Macaca mulatta: one gene and its partners. The protein of the gene in region 4 interacts with the protein of the main gene of each other region in a pairwise test. Links are inferred from orthologs where the notes say so. Each region holds a gene or a part of one and is shown on either strand. Other genes may lie near its edges. The genes, in order: SDCBP2, STAC3, PRR13, SREK1IP1 and SDCBP.

Region 1 (2,830 bases), on a different chromosome or scaffold from region 4:
GACAGCATGGGCCATGTCGGCTTCGTGATCAAGAAGGGGAAGATTGTCTCTCTGGTCAAAGGGAGTTCTGCGGCCCGCAACGGGCTCCTCACCAACCACTATGTGTGTGAGGTGGATGGGCAGAATGTCATCGGGCTGAAGGTAGGCCGGTGGTTGCACCGGGGAGGGACTGCTGGGTGGTGGGAGGGCTCAGGTCTATGGGCAGCTTGCTTACCCCACCTGAGCCTCAGCGTCCTCTTCCGAAGGTAAGATGGTGTTCATAGGGCTGGGTGCAGTGACTCACGTCTGTAATCCCGGTGCTTTGGGAGGCCAAAGCAGGAGGATCACTTAAGTCCAGGAGTTTGAGACCAGCCTAGGCAATGTGAAACCCTCTTTCCACAAAAAAGCTAAAAAATTAGCCAAGCGTGGTGGTGCACGCCTGTAGTCCCAGCTACTCAGGAGGCTGAGGTGGGAGGACTACTTGAGCCTGGGAGGTCAAGGCTGCAGTGAACTATGATCATGCCACTGCATTCCAGCCTGGGCAACAGAGACAGACCCTGTCTCCAAAAAAGAAAAAGACAGTGTACCTAGAGCTCTGAGCACAGTGCCAGGCACATAGTAGGTGCTTAATAAATAGTAGCTATTGCTGGCTGCACGGACACCTCCTTGCTCTATGGCACTTTTTTTTTGTATAGTGGATCATGTTCAGTAGTAGGAATGTTTTAGAAAATTGTTATTCAGAAATCCATAGGGTCATGAGACTCTTCAGAACCGAGTTTGTCCCAGCCAGCCACACTTCTTGAGATCATTTGTCTTTATTTCCACCTGTGGCCATTGCTAGTCCTGTCTAGCACATCTTCTCGCATTTATTTTGGAACAATCAAGAAAACATGTAACCAGATTACATACATGTGTAAAGTAAAGGTCAATAGGCTCTGAGTAAGGGCCAGAGGTTCTTCTATGGCCACAGTGTTAGTGTTTGTACCGCCTGGCACATGTGGGAGACCCATGTTCTCACTCAAGCAAGACCTTACCTGGGAGTCTGCTGGGACCCTCATCTGACAGGCTCGGGGTCTGAGGCAGCCCTGCCCTGCAGTCAGGCATCTGTGTGTCCTCTAGCAGTGGCCATGCTGACTCCTCCACAGAGGGGCCTGTAGAGTTGCCCCTGGTCCCCAATCCTTAGGGTGATCACTTACTTGCCTCCTCTCTAGGACAAAAAGATCATGGAGATTCTGGCCACAGCTGGGAACGTTGTCACCCTGACCATCATCCCCAGTGTGATCTACGAGCACATGGTCAAAAAGTAAGGCTGCACCCCTCCTCACCCCTCCTCTGCCATCCCGCTCACCTCCCTGCCTCCCGGGTGCACCTGGCTCAGCCACTCCACTTTCTCAGCACTGACACAGGGCACAGACCCCGCCAGCTGCATACTCCCTTCCCCTTCCCCTCCCTCCAAGGTAGCTTGTGGCTTCTGGTGATTCGAAAGTCTTAGAACTGGGAGTGAAGGCCCACATGGGATGCGCTGGCTCAGAAGGGGGTGGAGGTTGCTGGAGGGCGGAGAGAAGGAGCTGCCAACTTGGCCACCATTGTTGCTGTATCCAGGTTGTCTCCAGTCCTGCTCCACCACACCATGGACCACTCCATTCCAGATGCCTGAAGCCACTGGAGGGCAGGGCGGGCAGGGTGGGCCTCCCGCCCTCCTGCGGCAAAGGGCAACACCCTCGGATGATGGGTTGCAGCTGGCCTGCTGCTTAACGTGGGAGCTGCCGTGAGGGGGGCGTGTCCAGGAGGGTGACCATGGGATGGCGTGGGTACGTCGCTTATACACACAGGCCTCCTTGGAGTCTCAGACTCCAGGCTGGGCTGAGGCTCAGGCAGAGCCCACAGGCAGCCGATTCTCTTGTGCTGATTTAAATGCTGAACACGGAGGCAGGCCGTCTAAACACTTCTTAAAGTTGCAACTGGGCCCCTTTCAAGAAATTTTGCTCTACCAGGAAAACAGTTACACATTTGAGAGAACAGAGCTACATTCTTTGTGAGAGCTTTTTCCTTGCCTTGACTTGCTCTTTGTCACAGACAGCATAAGTTATCAGCCTTGACTATCTTTTGAATAAAGATTTGATTTTAAACAAAACCCGTCCGCAAAGGTAATTGATTCCCCCCAAAACTATTGAAAATAAAATAAAAAGATAATTGAAAATTCTGGAATCCTCGGTCCCCTGACGTGCCAGGGCTGGTTTTCTCTTAAACTGTGGCGAGACCAGGGCCTTTTCTCCGTGTGGTCTCTGAGAGCCATGATTTGGCTTTGCCTCTGTCACGTGCCGCCTGCCAGCCTGGTGCAGGGATGACTGGAACTGGGGACAGGATGGAACTGTGGGACGGGGTAGGACTGTGGGGCAGTGGGGCTGGCAGAGGGAGCACTGGCTTTGGGGCACCCCCCATGTGACCATGGCTGTTTCTGCTTCTGCAAAGTGGGCATGAGAAGCCACTTCAGGGGATGTTGGGGAGGGTGAAACGCGATGTGCTCGTGGTGCCCAGCAGGGTGTGCCATGTGGGGGCAGGGGGAGGTGGTTCCAGACCCTGAGCCTGACCCCAAGAGAGCAGTGGTGCCCCAGCCCCGCACAGCTCTCTGCTTCCCTGCATGTCGGAGGCGATCGCTGCTTGCCTGGCTTTTTCCTGTGCGAGTGCTGTGGTCCCTGTACTGGAGGAAGACGCTGTGAACCCTCCCACTGCCCCCCTTAGAGAAACCACCCGGTATAAAGAAAACAGGCCAAGGGGCTTGCTGTGTTTTCATGCTTTAATTCAGAGTTGTCTGCTGCAGGTACAACTGTCTGAACAAAAGGACAAAGGA
Region 2 (4,327 bases), on a different chromosome or scaffold from region 4:
GTCCCTGTCCTATGTGGCTGAAAAAAGGGGAAGAGCAGAAGTCATCTTGCCTGCAAGGTGCAGCTTTTCCTTTAGAGCATCTCAAAGCAAGCCCTGTTGTTCTGCAGTCTGTCAGAGCAGGGCCATTAAAGAACCTGCAGAGTCAGAACCATCCTGCACCACCTTTTCAAACTTCACCCTTAAATAGAAAAAAAAAAAAAAGTAGTGGGTGAGAATGACAAAGCATGTTGCCCTGGAAATCTCTTGGGTCCAAGTAGCTGTATCCCTAACCATGGTCCTACAGGAGCTTGCCTGACTCAGTCTCCAACACAGTCCTTTATTTCTTACAGATACAAGGAATAAAGCAGCACTGCATTGCCACCTCTAAATTGCTCTCCCCTGAGATGGGAGTATCTCCTCTTTCATCTATGTCACAGCCCAAAGAGTAGGAGAAGGGTAAACCCCTGTGAGATCAGAATGGCATCTGTCTCTTTGATCCATCAGTTACATACTGAGGCATCAAAGGTGGGAGATGGAATCAGGGAATCAAAAGGGTTTAGGAAGTGTGAGGTTGGCCATCCTACCTTTAAGAGTTTGCAGTTCTCATGAGGAAGGGGACATTACTTAGAAATTATTAAAAAGATTCCTTATGTGGCAGCTATATCCTTCTGTCTAGTGTTAACTGGCCCTTTTTAATAGCCCTGGTAATTCCATTCACCCTGAGGACAAAATTTTGCAAGAAGGAGGGTGGGGAGATGTCTCTGGGAGCTGATGGAGGGAATGAAGCAATACTACATATTCTTCACTTTCTTACAGGATAGCAAAGTACTTCTCCAACCACCCACAGATAAAAAGCAATCTAACCATGCACGGTGACCCACGCCTGTAATCCTAGCACTTTGGAAGGCCGAGGCAGGCAGATCACCTGAGGTCAGGGGTTTGAGACCAACCTGGCCAACATGGTGAAACCCCGTCTCTACTAAAAATACAAACATTACCTGGGCATGGTGGTGGGCGCCTGTAATCCCAGCTGCTTAGGAGGCTGAGGCAGGAGAATCGCTTGAACCTGGGAGGTTGCAGTGAGTCCGGATCACTTCATTGCACTCCAGCCTGGGTGACAAGAGCAAGACTCTGTCTCAAAAAAAAAAAAAAAAAAGAAAGCCATCTAGTATGGCTGATAGGAGAGCTCTATGCGTTCGAATTAGTCTTTTTTTTTTTTTTTTACCCTGTCTCAAAAAATAAATGAAAAATAAAAATAAACTCCCTTTAAATGTTATATGAGCATGAACAGAAACTGTCCCTTGCTGAATTTGGCCATTATTCACCTGTTCACCTTAGATGAAGAATCAAGGAACAGCAGCTCTGGAGGGATGGGAGGAGTTAGGGTCCAGCCCTGCCCCAGACCTCTCAGTGTCCAATTTCTCTGTGTCAGCTGTGTTTCTCAGCTGTTCACTTTCCTCCAGCCCTGTCATTTCAGCCCTGACACCAAGGCAGGAGGTTAGGAGGTCTACAAATAGCGACTGGGTAGCTGGTGTGAACACAGGGTACTGGGGGGGCTTAGCCCCCAAGGAAGAGGACCAGTTTTTCCCCAGCACCACCATCAAGGCCTCGGGGCTCCCAGCTCCCTCTACAGACTGTGGACTGATTTAGGGAATCCCAAACGTAAGTTACCTCTTCATCCTCTCGATTTCCACGACTGCTCACGCCAGCTGCCCTGATCTATAATCTATTCAGCTTCTTCATTTCTTTCCTTGTCTGTGAGTCGTTTGGGTTTTAGGAGTAAAATTATTATTCTACTCTAGGATGAGTTAGGATTGGAGGGGGGGTGGGGGTGGGGTAAAGGGAATGAAGTAGTAAGGGAAGGAAAGGCTCATATTACCCTGAAAACTTAAAATAGCTGAGCCCTGAGGCAGGCTGGGACAGAACTAGGCACAGGGCCCCCAGGGCTCAAGAAAGAAGTAGGGGAGGACAAATGTCTGCAGTCCATCCTTCCTTGTGCGCACACGAGGACACACATTAAACCTCTTGAAGAGAGGAGATCTGGGAAGGTATGCATCACATCTCTGTTGCCCACAGATTCCCAAGAGAAACAAAGTACCTATAGGAAAATAACATAAACCATGCAGCCTTGAACACTGTAAGGGCTGTAAACTATGGGGTCTCCCCTCAGGATGGAAGGATGAGTATCAGTTTGAGGAACTAATTGGGGAGCTCTTTAGTCTGTTGGGATTTATTTATTTATTTATTATTTTTTATTTTTTTTGAGATGGAGTCTTGCTCTGTCACCCAGGCTGGAGGGCAGTGGCACAATTCTGGCTCACTGCAACCTCCTGGGTTCAAGCGATTCTCCTTCCTTAGCTTCCTGAGTAGATGGAATTACTGGTGTCCACCATCACGCCCGGCTAATTTTTGTATATTTAGTAGAGATGGGGTTTCACCATGTTGGCCAGGCTAGTCTTGAACTCCTGATCTCTAGTGATCTGCCCGCCTCAGCCTCCCAAAGTGCTGGGATTACAGGCATGCACCACCGCGCCTGGTCATGTTGGGCTTTTTCCTAGACTTCCATGAAATCTGTTAATAAAACCTGCCAAATGATCTGTATTTGGCCCAGTGCAGTGGCTCACGCCTGGAATCTCAACACTTTGGGGGTTGAAACGGGAGGATTGCTTGAGCTAGTTCGGGTAAGCCTAGGCAACAAAGCAAGACCATGTCTCTACAAAAAATAAAAAGGTAGCCAGGTAGTGTGCACCTTGTGTTCCAGCTACTCAGGAAGCTGAGGTAGGGGGATTGCTTCAGGCTGGGAGGTCAAGGCTGCAGTGAGCCATGATCATGCCACTGCACTCCAACCTGGGTGACAGAGTGAAACCCCATCTCAACAACAACAAAATCTCTAATCACGTTTCTCCAAAAACCTTCCCTTTGAGTACCGCCCTACTGCAAGGGACAGAAATAAGGGGGAGAAGAGTGAAAGGGATTAGATTTCATAGTGGGGTCCAACCTCTTGCAGGATGACAGAAAAGGAGGTGCTGGAGTCCCCTAAGCCCTCTTTCCCAGCAGAGACTCGGCAAAGCGGGGTGAGTCTGGGCCTGTGACCACTGGGTGTGGGGGGCCAGGAAACCTTTACAGCTGAAGAAGAGTGCTTAAATTGATCTCATTTGTGTGTGACTCATGTTTTGCTGGCCAGCACCTGCAGTCCCCAATACCAATACCTGCCTAATCCTGGGGTACATTCCTTGCCCAAAACTAGAAAACTGTCTGTTTGCTCTAACACCCCCCTACTCTAGAGAGGGTGACAAGTCCTTTTAACGTTGGGTTTTCTTCACTCCCTCCCTCAGCTACAGCGGCTGAAGCAGTTACTCAGGAAGGGTTCTACAGGGACAAAGGAAATGGAACTTCCCCCAGAGCCCCAGGCCAATGGGGAGGCAGTGGGAGCTGGGGGTGGGCCCATCTACTACATTTATGAGGAAGAGGAAGAAGAAGAAGAGGAGGAGGAGGAGCCACTCCCAGAACCTCCTAAGCTGGTCAACGATAAGCCCCACAAATTCAAAGATCATTTCTTCAAGAAGCCAAAGTTCTGTGATGTCTGTGCCCGGATGATTGTTCGTGAGTCATAAAGGGGAGTGAAGAGAGTATGATGTTGAAGGCAGAGGTTGGGGAGAGGGCATACAAGAGGAGTATTTGTAGCAGATGGGCTGTGGCTAGAGTTGGTGTAAGGCAATGCTGTTAGAGATTGAGCAAGTAAGGTCCCAGACAGAAAAGGGAACCTAAGAGTAGCAGCAGTGGTACAAAGGGAAAGGGCAATCTGGAATCTTATCTGAATTTTCTCCCCCTCTCCCAAGTCAACAACAAGTTTGGGCTTCGCTGTAAGAACTGCAAAACCAACATCCATGAACACTGTCAGTCCTATGTGGAAATGCAGAGATGCTTCGGCAAGATCGTGAGTAGGCTCTGGGGAACAAGGTGTAGAAAAGAGGTGACATGGACGGGCACAGTGGCTCACACCTGTAATCCCAGCACTTTGGGAGGCCGAGGCAGGCGGATCACGAGGTCAGGAGATGGAGACCATCCTGGTTAACACAGTGAAACCCTGTCTCTACTAAAAAATACAAAAAATTAGCCGGACGTGGTGGCGGGCACCTGTAGTCCCAGCTACTCGGGAGGCTGAGGCAGGAGAATGGCGTGAACCCGGGAGGCGGAGCTTGCAGTGAGCTGAGATTGCACCACTGCACTCCAGCCTGGGTGACAGAGCGAAAAAAAAAGAAAGGAGGAGACATGTCACCAGCTACCCCTTGCTGGTCCCTCCTCCATCCCATTCATTTCTCTGCTTTTTCTTTCTCAGCCCATCTCT
Region 3 (4,443 bases), on a different chromosome or scaffold from region 4:
GAGAATTAGCAGTCATTAAGTTTTGAGAGCATGGTTCAATGCATGTTCATCAGGTCAAGTTTGTTAATTGTATTGTGTGTGATTTTTTTGTTGTCGTTGTTTATTATTATTATTTTTGAGACGGAGTCTCACTCTATTACCCAGGTTGGAGTGCAGTGGCACGATTTCGGCTCACTGCAACCTCCGCCTCCCGGGTTCAGCGATTCTCCTGCCTCAGCCTCCCAAGTGGCTGGGATCACAGGCACATGTCACCACGCCCGGCTAATTTTTGTATTTTTAGTAGAAACGGGGTTTTACCATATTGGCCAGGCTGGTCTCGAACTCCTGACCTCGTGATCCGCCCGCCTCGGCTTCCCAAAGTGCTTGGATTACAGGCATGAGCCAATGTACCTGGCCACTTGTATTGTTTTCTTTAAAAAAAAAAAAAAAAAGTCTGGGCGCGGTGGCTCACGCCTGTAATCCCAGCACTTTGAGAGGCCGAGGCAGGCAGATCACGAAGTCAAGAGATGGAGACCATCCTGGCCAACATGGTGAAACCCCATCTCTACTAAGAAATACAAAAATTAGCCGCGCCTGTAGTCCCAGCTACTCGGGAGGCTGAGGCAGAAGAATCGCTTGAACGCGGGAAGCGGAGGTTGCAGTGAGCTGAGGTCGCACCACTGCACTCCAGCCTGGCAACAGAGCGAGACTCCGTCTCAAAAAAAAAAAAAAAAAAAAAAAAAAAAAAGAGGCCATTGTAGCAATTCAGGGGAGAAATGAATCCAGGCGAGAGATGATGGGAGGTTTAGACCAGGGAAGACGGAGAGAAGTGGAGAGATTCCAGATGTATTTGTGAGACAAAACTGGTAATTTGGGGTAAGGGAGGTGAAGGAGACAGAGGGATCACGGAAGACCTCCTTGGTTTCTGGTTTAGGCTTCTTGACAGATGGCGGAGCTATGCAATTGAGAGAGGGAATCCTGGGAGAGATTATGAAATCTCTGTATTTTCCGCAAGAATGTTTGTTTGCTTCCCTTGCGAGTGTAAGAGGGAGCCGAGAACATTGAGGCTTGGGGCTAGGACTCAGCAGCTCCTCTGCCCTTGCCGAGAACTCTGTCTATATCTGTATTACAACACTTACCATAGTGTATTCACTTTACAAGGTATTGCACCCAGTGAACCATGACTAGCAGAGAGCAAGGGCAGAGTTTCTTCTCGGTGTCTCTAGGACTTTGCCCAGCAGCTGGCCCCGCCCCCTCTAGCGCTCTCCGCCTAGCTCCGCCCCCAGGAGATTTCCGGCTTCTCAGTACTTGCCTAGTCGTAAAGGGCTCCGGTCTGCAGCTAGAGCAACCGTTTCCTCCTCAGTTGGACCAGAGTGATTGATTAGTTTGTTGTCCAATCATCAGCCGAGTGGCCACATAATTACCAATTAGGCAGTAGCAGAGGCGGGTACCGAAGCACGGGGTCTGGGTGACTAGGTGTGACTAGGAAGTAAGAGCCGAGACTGCGAAGAACGCATCAAGTCCAGGCGGCGGTGGAAAGGTGACGTGGTATCTGAATTCCATGGGTTTATTCCTTTTCCCATTGCTGGGTTAAGAGCCCCTTCGCAGCTTGGGGCTAGGATCTTCATTTGCCTTTTTTCTTTTTTGGAGGAATTGGGCTGTGTCCATTTATTTAAGTATTTGAGGTTCTTGAGCAACTTCCTTCTTCGCCTCCAGGCGTATCCTTTTCTTAGCCTGAGGTGAGGTCCTCCCCAGGGAGAAAGTTGTTTGAGATCCTTTCTTACTCTGTGGGTGGTTAAAGGCCTCCGGACTCAGTTCCAGGAAAGGGGGATGAATGATGGGGGTGCCGAGACTCGCGGGCTATGCCCTCTTGCGAAGAGTTAGACGCTTCAACCTAGGTGGAGGGGCCCTGGGAACTAGATTCCTGTGTTAGGAACCAAGTAGGTATTGAGGGCGAAGAAACAAGTGGAAAGAGACATTTCTTTCTTTTTTTTTTTTTCTTCGAGGCGGTGTCTCGCTCTGTTGCCCAGGCTAGAGTGCAGTGGCGCGATCTCAGCTCACTGTAACTTCCGCCTCCCAGGTTCAAGCGATTCTCCTGCCTCAGCCTCCCGAGTAACTGGGATTACAGGCGCCCGCCACCGCGCCCGGCTAATTTTTAGATTTTTAGTAGAGACGGGGTTTAACGATGTTGGCCAGGCTGGTGTCGAATTCCTGACCTCGTGATCCACCCGCCTTGGCCTCCCAAAGTGCTGGGATTACAAGCGTGAGCCACCGCGCCCAGCCAGAAAAGAGATGTGTCTTATGTGGAAGTCGTGGTAGTTCTCCAGGTGGGAGAGCCTACTGTGGGGTGGAAGACGTTAGGGCTGGGCTCCGGTGCTAAGTCCACTTCCTACCTCTAGACTGTCATCTTTTTTGCCTCATTTCTTTCTCCTCAGGCTGGAGGACACACCTAAACATGTGGAATCCCAATGCCGGTAGGTGTTTGGGGGTTCTGTACGACCCCTAACCCTTTTTCTGATGGACTCTGCGTAACAGGAAGTTTCTCTATCAGCTGCCCCATCCCCGACCCGCCACACCCGCAAAAGCAAAGTCCTTAGTCTACAGCTGACCAGTGCTTTTTTATTTTATTTTATTTATTTATTTTTTGAGACGGAGTCTCTGTCGCCCAGGCTGGAGTGCAGTGGCGCGATCTCGGCTCACTGCAACCTCCGCCTCCTGGGTTCAAGCGATTCTCCTGTTTCAGCCTCTGGAGTAGCTGAGATTACAGGCGTGCGCCATCACGCCCTACTACTTTTTGTATTTTTAGTAGAGACGGGGTTTCACCATGTTGGCCAGGCTGGTCTTGAACTCCTGGCCTCATGTGATCTGTCCACCTCGGCCTCCCAAACTGCTGGGATTACAGGCTTGAGCCACCACGCCCCACCGGCCTGACCAGTACTTTTGTCTTCCTCAGAGTTCACTGTCTCCCTCCTCTCTCCAGCCCTTACGGGGACATTCCCCTTTTATCCTCAACTCAGGTTTGTCTCCCCTACCTTCTATTCTCCTTTGTCACTTTTCCATTTCCCTTTAAGTATTGGGTGAGAAAGAATCTCTTTCTTTTTGTTGTTTGTTGTCGGAGACTCTGGGGAATACTAATGTTTATAATCTGCTTCTTCCCCCAGGGCAGCCAGGGCCAAATCCATATACCCCCAACATCGGGTGCCCTGGAGGTTCCAATCCTGCCCACCCACCACCTATTAACCCACTCTTTCCCTCAGGCCCCTGTCCTCCTCCCCCAGGAGCTCCCCAGGGCAATCCAGCTTTCCCCCCAGGTGGGCCCCCTCATCCTGTGCCACAGCCAGGGTATCCAGGATGCCAACCCTTGGGTCCCTACCCTCCTCCATACCCACCTCCTGCCCCTGGAATCCCTCCTGTGAATCCCTTGGCTCCTGGCATGGTCGGACCAGCAGTGATAGTGGACAAGAAGATGCAGAAGAAAATGAAGAAAGCTCATAAAAAGATGAACAAGCACCACAAGCACCACAAGCGTGGCAAGGTCAGTACCCTCTGGAGCCTGGCTAGGGAAGGGGTGCCCCCTCAGAGGGACTAGGTAGGCAGGGGTTGGGTGAGGGGGATTCACATTCTGTGGACGTGGGGGATGACGATTGTGTCACTCTGGTCGATGATTCTTCCTTTTTGTAAAAGATTGCTACTGGGAAGAATCTGATTATCTTGAAAAGAAACATCAGGCTTCTCCTATCTGGGGGGAGCTAGGGTGAGCCTTAAAATAGATTTTTAGAATCAAAAGCCAAATCTTTTCTGCCCTACTCTCTCCCAGAACTTTTGCTCCCCTCCCCGCAGGTGCATATTCTAGCAAGTTGGACCCCCTCACTGACATTATCAAAACATCAATTAAAGTCATTCCTTTGACAAAGCAAAGTCTTATAATAATTAACAGAATAATAATATGGCCCTAGTTCCTGGAGTTCTTTCTCTCTTTCAGTGTTCTTAGGGCCTTGTGTTAATTACATGGGCCCTTTGCCCTATCATCCAGCAGAAAAAGTGAGGACAAGAGCAGTCAGTGACTCAGCCTCTAACAGCCTAGGACTAAGGAGGTTTTATACTCAGCCCCAAGGCTGAGTATCTTTGTTTTAGAGGACTGTTAAAAATTAGTAAGGATCATGCCTGTAATCCCAGCACTTGGGAATTATTAGCTGGGTGTGGTGGCGCATGCCTGTAATCCCAGCTACTCAGGAGGCTGAGGCAGGCGAATTGCTTGAACCCGGGAGGCGGAGGTTGCAGTGAGCCCAGATCTCACCACTGCACTCCAGCCTCGATGACAGACAAGACTCCATCTCAAAAAAAAAAGTGCAAGGATAAAAGCAACTCTGAGGTCAACTCTGGAAGGATTAAACCAATCTGCATCTTGATGAGGCCTCCATTTACATTTAACTGCCCAGTAAATTTATTTGCCTTGTGGATTCT
Region 4 (3,725 bases):
TCCTTCCAGTCTTCAGCCACCTGTGCATTTTTACTATTAACTCTTTTAAAAACTAACTGGTTAAAGAAATTATTGAAAGTAGTAAGTGGCCATTTCTCTTGTTAATCAGTGCAGTTTCATTCATACTAGCATAAATTTGCACATACAGGCATTTTTTAAAAGCAATTAACCATAATTCTAGTTTAGACCCAGTTCTCATACAGAATAGGTTCTAGAAACCAGGGGCTGCCACTTCGTAGTTTTTATAGAGCATTTAATACATGTATTTGAATATTTCAGGTGTCTTATAAATTGGAAAAGTAGCTCACTTTCAAGTGTTAGGAGTTAACTAATAATCTTTAATATAAAAACAAATAGGAATGTAGAGCTCAGAGTTTTCTGTTCATGTATTATTAACTCATGTGTTGCAGCACAGCAAGATGGATTGCTTATAGGAAATGAGATTATCTAATAGTCTTCCAAATTCTAATACAAATAGTTCCCAATTTTTGTGGTTCGATATGATCTTTCAACTTTATGATAGTGCAGTAGAAATGTACTTCAGGTACCCATAGAGCCATTCTATTTTTCACTTTCAGGACAGTATTCAATAAATTACATGAGATATTCAACGCTTTATTATAAAAATAGGCTTTGTGTTAGATGATTTTGCCCAACTAGAGGCTAATGTAAGTGTTCTGAGAATGTTTAAGGGCGGCCAGGTTAAGCTATGATGTTCAGTAGGGTAGGTGTATTTTGTGTATTTTCAGCTGCAGATAGATTTATCAGGGCGTAACCCCGTCGTAAGTTGAGGTACATCTGTATATTTCTTTTCTTTTTCTTTTTTTTTTTGAAACGGAGTCTTGCTCTGTCGCCCAGGCTGGAGTCCAGTGGTGCGATCTCAGCTCACTGCAAGCTCCGCCTCCCGGGTTCATGCCGTTCTTCTGCCTCAGCCTCCCAAATAGCTGGGACCACCGGCACCCGCCACCATGCTCGGCTAATTTTTTTGTATTTTTAGTAGAGACAAGGTTTCACCGTGTTAGCCAGGATGGTCTCAATCTCCTGACCTTGTGATCCACCTGCCTTGGCCTCCCAAATATTTCTTTTATAGTAACAGATTATTTATTTGGGCCTGTTTACCTTGAGCATCACAAACCTGAAATTAAACTAACTTTTCTGTGCACATTTAGCAGAGATAGTGCCACCTGAACGTGTTGCTATGCCACAGCCTAAAATTTTATCTTAAAATTGAGACTTCAGGCTAGGCACGGTGGCTCACTCCTGTAATCCCAGCACTTTGGGAGGCCAAGGCGGGTCGATCACCTGAGGTCTGGAGTTTGAGACCAGCCTGGCCAACACAGTGAAACCCCATCTCTACTAAAAATACAAAAATAAAAAAAAATAGCTAGGCATGGTGGTGTTGGTGCCTGTAATCCCAGCTACTTGGGAGGCTGAGCCAGAAGGATAGCTTGAACTCGGGGGCGTGGAGGCTGCAGTGAGCTGAGATCACGCTATTACACTCCAGCCTGTGCAACAAGAGTGAAACTCTGTCTCAAAAAAAAAAAAAAAAAAAAAAAACTTTGGGACCAAAAAGCTAAAGAAAAAAGTGCAGGCAGGGAAGAAGCTTTAGTCAGAATCCAGAGGTCAAGTCAAGCAGGGTCTTTAAAACAGGAAAGTAGACAAGATTCGAGAATAACAGAACTGAAGAGGCAAGGGAGCAGGAGAATACGTGAGAAAATAAGCTTTAACAGATGGTCGGAAGTCTGAGTAAGCAGACAAACTAGGAGGAGAAAGGAACACAACATTACAAAAATAAGGGAAAACTCGGAGTCACTAAAGGAGGAAGGCAGTCAAGGAATTCACACACTATACAGACACAAGATAGCCTTGGACCCCTGTAGTCTCCTGAATTTACATTGGCACCTCCTTTATGTCCGTCTCAGGTTTTCTTAGTTTGAGTTTTAACTCCTAATATTTAGATCACTAAACTAACTCTTCAGGTACCTTTTTTTACATTTTAAATTCACTCAGTTTCTGTCTTGTCACTCATATTTTGAGTTTGAGTATAGGTAGAATGTTGCACATCTCTTTACGTAAGATCTTGAAAGACAGTGTTTTCTGTTCTTTTTCTTTTCCTTTTTTTTTAATATTAGAGGAAGGAATCCAACCAATTTTTCCAATTTAGTATTAAAGCAATATTTTTCAAACGCATAATGATAACCCATCCTTTTTCATTTATATCTAGCATAAAAGCATCCTTTGTAACTAATGAAAATTATTTTGTAATGCAAGTATTCATTACTCTCCATCTAGACGGACCCAGTACTTGAAAAATCAGCAGAATTTTATTTTGCTAACTTTCAGCTTTAATTCATTCCTATGAACGCAAAATTATAGCCCTTTAAAATAGAGAATTGCAACTTTTGAGGCAGTTTTAAGAAAATATGCTAAGTTATTATATACACAAGTGAATATAATAAGGCTTGGTGAATGCCCCTTTGTTTGCATTTTAGGATTTTGAATGGTATAACTGCATGAAAAACCAAAAGTCACAGAAAAATAATTTCATCCTTACTGAATTTAAAACTCATTACTAAAATTGAGTGGAATAGAGATACTAGTTTTGTTAATTTCTGTGACCAAGCAGCACAAATTCTAAATTCAGCGTTTTAAGGGAATGCAAATATATGAAGCACATTTTAAGTTTATGTTTATACTCACTACCTTACTTCAAGAAGAATTTAAGGCAGTTCAAATCCCGCTTAAATTTATCTATCAGTCATAAATGCAATTCTCAGTCAGTGTGTATTATTATCCATAGGTCTTACTCATCCAGTTCCACTGAAGAGGACACTTCAAAACAAAAGAAACAAAAATATCAGAAGAAAGAAAAGAAAAAAGAAAAAAAGAGCAAATCAAAAAAAGGGAAACATCACAAAAAGGAAAAAAAGAAGAGAAAAAAGGAAAAGCAGTCTTCTACACCTAATTCTGAATTCTCCAGAAAGTAACTGAGACTTTGGCTTAAGCCATTAAATTTAAAAATTTGTTTTTAAAAAGTGTTTGCCCTTCCTTGGAATTTGCTATATATTGTGCTTTGCAATAAATCACAGCCTTTTCCCCATAGACATTTTTCGTATGTGGGACCATTATCCCTCTGGCAATATATTTTTAATGTGCTATGACTGCAAAGTAATAAATCAGTCTTGTTACTTGATCACCATGCCCCAAGTATAGCTATTTGTGTATACTAAACACATCGTTTTTGGTATTTGTGTCTCTGTGTGTTTGGCTAGTGTTATTACTTCATTAGTTGATTGTAAAATGGCTTTACCGCAGTCAACACGGGTCATCTACGTAGCAGCTAATGAGTATTGCTGATTCAGGTGTCCACCTTCCAATCATGAAGCTAGGTAAGGGGTAATGTTTTGCTCTTGACACAGAAAAATTTAATAGCTTTATATACTAAAATAGAATATCTTTTAAAGATAGTGAAATTCTTCTTTTTTTTCTAAATCTCTAGGGATTTTTTTTCAATGTCATAGAAGGTGCAGCTGCTTAATGGTCTTGACTAGGACTTTTTAAATGAATGGTGTCTGCAGGAAGATGATCATGAAAATATCTCTAACGAAGTTTCACTGTTCTACGAAATGCAGAATTTCTAGTACCTGCCTCCTTTGTTTTTGTAATAATTGAAATATTTCTTTCTTATATAAAGAGATTAGTTCAGCCTGTTAGTAAGTCTGCAG
Region 5 (3,725 bases), on a different chromosome or scaffold from region 4:
TTAAGGTCAAAAAGTTTTAAGCATGACCTCCTCATTTCGTAGACTTTGATTTAGAATACACAGTTAACTAAGAGGAGATGGTAGTATTGTATATGGGGAAAATTATTTAATATTCAGAAAGGAAAAGGGTTTTTTTTTTTTTGACTAAAATATTCAACTCAGTTTACTTAAGCAAACTGGTTACTAGCTGTAAAATAGTGTACAATTAAACTTGGTAAGAAATACTAGAAAAAAATGCCGGGCGCAGTGGCTCACGCCTGTAATCCCAGCACTTTGGGAGGCCGAGGCGGGCGGATCACAAGGTCAGGAGATCGAGACCACGGTGAAACCCCGTCTCTACTAAAAATACAAAAAATTAGCCGGGCGCGGTTGTGGGCGCCTGTAGTCCCAGCTACTCGGGAGGCTGAGGCAGGAGAATGGCGTGAATCCGGGAGGCGGAGCTTGCAGTGAGCCGAGATCGCGCCACTGCACTCCAGCCTGGGCGACAGAGCGAGACTCCGTCTCAAAAAAAAAAAAAAAAAAGAAATACTAGAAAAAAATTAGAAATACCAAGCAGGATTTTAGAGATCTTAACAAAACATAACAGGACATATATTTTGTATTTCTTTACCAAGACTGGCATAATTTTGTATTTATTAAATAAAGCCTCTGTGGAATTGATTTTTAATATGTGTTTTTATCAGGACTCTCAAATTGCAGACATACTATCAACATCTGGGACTGTAGTTACTATTACAATCATGCCTGCTTTTATCTTTGAACATATTATTAAGCGGTAAGTAAACAATTCCTCAACTTAATGCATATGGTCGTGTGACTTAATGTAAGCACTATAGTTTAATTCTCAGCCCTTTGGGTCTTTTACCTAAGGAATGAATACTGGTGTTTATCTAGAAATTTGAAGTAAGTTATTTAAGTCAGCGGGGTTGGTAAGGATGAGCTCTTACAACTTCCCAAGTATGGAATAAAATCCACATATACTTTCCTCAGTTTTGATATTGCCTAGTAGAAGAATGCAAGGAAAAGTGGGCATGCTTTTAGCTTTCAATTTGCAGTACAATTGACTGCAGTTGTACTGCCTGCCACTCCTCTGCTCAGTATAAATATAGTTGTAGTGGTTCGTAATGGAGAATTCTTGCTGGTGGAATGCTAGGAGTAAGTTTCCCTTCTCTCCAGAATCTCAGGAAGCAGATAGACATGTGTGGTGTGTTGGTGCTATCTGTGCTCAGGAACTGAGGATTAGAAAGCCAAGTGATCAGAAATGAAAAGAGGCAACAAGGTTACTTCTATACAGCTTTTCGTATCCTAGCATCTACCATAGCTGTTTTTGTCAAGCCAGCTTGGAATCCTTCTTTCAGAACCTCTATCATGCATGTGAAAATGAGATTTAAAAGATTCATAAACATAACCATTGTAATGAAATTTGTATGTTGGCTTCTGGATAGAATGCACCTCCCTACGCTTCGAGGGGGTAAAAAGGAGTTATTGTCATGACTAATTGTTCTAAGGTTCTCTTTTTTTAAATCACTGATGGATCCCTCTACCCCAACTCATCACAGCCGTGTCATTTTCTGTTTTTTAAAATTCACCAGGTTTGGCCGGGCGTGGTGGCTCAAGCCTGTAATCCCAGCACTTTGGGAGGCCGAGACGGGTGGATCACGAGGGTCAGGAGATCGAGACCATCATGGCTAACACAGTGAAACCCCGTCTCTACTAAAAAATACAAAAAACTAGCTGAGCGAGGTGGCGGGCGCCTGTAGTCCCAGCTACTCGGGAGGCTGAGGCAGGAGAATGGCGTGAACCCAGGAGGCGGAGCTTGCAGTGAGCTGAGATCCAGCCACTGCACTCCAGCCTGGGCAAGAGAGCCAGACTCCGCCTCAAAAAAAAAAAAAAAAAAAAATCACCAGGTTTAATGTACAAGAATTCATTTGTATCCTAACTTCTCTAGCCAAATACAGATAGCCTTTCCCACTGAGGGTCTGTCAACAACTAGATTACCAGAGATGCTTCTGGACTCATTTAAAAGATCTTTCCCTTCTCTCCATTCACATTTGATGCTAACAGGTGCTAAATTGGAATTGGGAATTTTCTTGGATTAACATAGCATTTTCGGGGGGGGGGGACAGAATCTCAGTATATAATAAAAGCACCTCTTTTGTAGGATGGCACCAAGCATCATGAAAAGCCTAATGGACCACACCATTCCTGAGGTTTAAAATTCACGGCACCATGGAAATGCAGCTGAACGTCTCCAGTTTCCTTCTTTGGCAACTTCTGTATTATGCACATGAAGCTTTCCCGGAGCCAGCAAGCATATGCTGCATGAGGACTTTTCTATCTTACATTATGGCTGGGAATCTTACTATTTTCATCTGATACCTTGTTCAGATTTCAAAATAGTTGTAGCCTTATCCTGGTTTTACAGATGTGAAACTTTCAAGAGATTTACTGACTTTCCTAGAACAGTTTCTCTACTGGAAACCTGATGCTTTTATAAGCCATTGTGATTAGGATGACTGATACAGGCTTAGCTTTGTGTGAAAACCAGTCACCTTTCTCCTAGGTAATGAGTAGTGCTGTTCATATTACTTTAGTTCTATAGCATATTTGCATTTTTAACATGCTACCATAGTACATTTAGAATGATTGCCTTTGATTTTTTAAAAAAATTCTGTGTGTGTATAAAATGCCAATTAAGAACACTGGTTTCATTCCATGTAAGCATTAAACAGTGTATGTAGGTTGCAAGAGATTGTGATGATTCTTAAATTTTAACTACCTTCATTTAATATGCTTAAACTGTCGCCTTAACTATGTTAAGCATCTAGACTAAAAGCCAAAATATAATTATTGCTGCCTTTCTAAAACCCAAAATGTAGATCTCTATTAACCTGAAATGTACACTAGCCCAGAACAGTTTAATGGTACTTACTGAGCTATAGCATAGCTGCTTAGTTGTTTTTGAGATTTTTTAGTCAATGCATAATGGAAACTTCTTTCTTCTAAAAGTTGCCAGCACCACTTTGTGAGAAGTGAATCACTATATATTTAATGTAAAAGTTATTACACTAAACAGGATAAACTTTTGACTCCTCTTTTGTTCATTTGTGGATTAAGTGGTATAATACTTAATTTTGGCATTTGACTCTTAAGATTATGTAACCTAGCTACTTTGGGATGGTCTTAGAATATTTTTCTGGTAACTTGTTCCATTTCCTGACTCCTTGCAAACAAAATGATAGTGACATTTTATCCTGAGTTTTTTCTTCTTTTTGGTTTATGGCTATTCTAATTAAATATGTATACATAAAGTTACATTTTAGTCTGTCTGTTACTGCATCATTTGCTTTCACCAAACTTATGCATGATCTAGAAGATAGGCAGGTGAAATTCACTTTCAGCTATGGGAGACATCATTTCCCAGAACAAGCTGACATTCAGGGGCCCTAAGAACAGCTCACAGTGCTGAGACTGAGTGTCAGGAAAATTGCTTCCAGCTGGGAACCCCAGATTACCAGGGCCAAGAGAGCTGGTTCACCCCTGCCATGCAGCAGGAACTCATTGAGGCTACTGACTGTCCCTAGCAATACCTGAGACCAGATAATACTTAATAACACTTGAAACTGACTTTGAAAATTCTATTAGTATGGTCTGACTCAAGTTTTTTCTCCTATATCATACTACTTGTAAGATACAACAGTGTTTTTAAAGAGTACAGAAACAAT

The links.
Region 1: the proteins of SREK1IP1 (region 4) and SDCBP2 interact in binary tests that used the Homo sapiens proteins (3 or more experiments, as listed by UniProt). The two-hybrid records come from large-scale screens. The link is inferred for Macaca mulatta from reciprocal best matches to the Homo sapiens genes SREK1IP1 and SDCBP2.
Region 2: the proteins of SREK1IP1 (region 4) and STAC3 interact in binary tests that used the Homo sapiens proteins (3 or more experiments, as listed by UniProt). The two-hybrid records come from large-scale screens. The link is inferred for Macaca mulatta from reciprocal best matches to the Homo sapiens genes SREK1IP1 and STAC3.
Region 3: the proteins of SREK1IP1 (region 4) and PRR13 interact in binary tests that used the Homo sapiens proteins (3 or more experiments, as listed by UniProt). The link is inferred for Macaca mulatta from reciprocal best matches to the Homo sapiens genes SREK1IP1 and PRR13.
Region 5: the proteins of SREK1IP1 (region 4) and SDCBP interact in binary tests that used the Homo sapiens proteins (3 or more experiments, as listed by UniProt). The two-hybrid records come from large-scale screens. The link is inferred for Macaca mulatta from reciprocal best matches to the Homo sapiens genes SREK1IP1 and SDCBP.

Annotation. Positions count from the first base shown.
Region 1 is NC_133415.1:82,842,452-82,845,281, forward strand, and holds the end of SDCBP2 (syntenin-2), read left to right. Parts: coding exon 1-141; intron 142-1,190; coding exon 1,191-1,282; intron 1,283-1,581; coding exon 1,582-1,636; 3' UTR 1,637-2,113; downstream 2,114-2,830.
Region 2 is NC_133416.1:64,408,907-64,413,233, reverse strand, and holds the start of STAC3 (SH3 and cysteine-rich domain-containing protein 3), read left to right. Parts: upstream 1-1,445; 5' UTR 1,446-1,641; intron 1,642-2,986; exon of another isoform or gene 2,987-2,987; coding exon of another isoform or gene 2,988-3,053; intron 3,054-3,314; coding exon of another isoform or gene 3,315-3,365; coding exon 3,366-3,582; intron 3,583-3,818; coding exon 3,819-3,916; intron 3,917-4,327. UniProt on the Homo sapiens protein: Required for normal excitation-contraction coupling in skeletal muscle and for normal muscle contraction in response to membrane depolarization. Required for normal Ca(2+) release from the sarcplasmic reticulum, which ultimately leads to muscle contraction.
Region 3 is NC_133416.1:60,591,620-60,596,062, forward strand, and holds the start of PRR13 (proline-rich protein 13), read left to right. Parts: upstream 1-1,424; 5' UTR 1,425-1,519; exon of another isoform or gene 1,520-1,527; intron 1,528-1,629; exon of another isoform or gene 1,630-2,306; intron 2,307-2,414; 5' UTR 2,415-2,434; coding exon 2,435-2,453; intron 2,454-2,932; coding exon of another isoform or gene 2,933-2,996; intron 2,997-3,140; coding exon 3,141-3,514; intron 3,515-4,443. UniProt on the Homo sapiens protein: Negatively regulates TSP1 expression at the level of transcription. This down-regulation was shown to reduce taxane-induced apoptosis.
Region 4 is NC_133411.1:72,769,165-72,772,889, reverse strand, and holds part of SREK1IP1 (protein SREK1IP1), read left to right. Parts: intron 1-2,800; coding exon 2,801-2,987; 3' UTR 2,988-3,725. UniProt on the Homo sapiens protein: Possible splicing regulator involved in the control of cellular survival.
Region 5 is NC_133413.1:69,261,709-69,265,433, forward strand, and holds the end of SDCBP (syntenin-1), read left to right. Parts: intron 1-683; coding exon 684-775; intron 776-2,161; coding exon 2,162-2,216; 3' UTR 2,217-3,198; downstream 3,199-3,725. UniProt on the Homo sapiens protein: Multifunctional adapter protein involved in diverse array of functions including trafficking of transmembrane proteins, neuro and immunomodulation, exosome biogenesis, and tumorigenesis.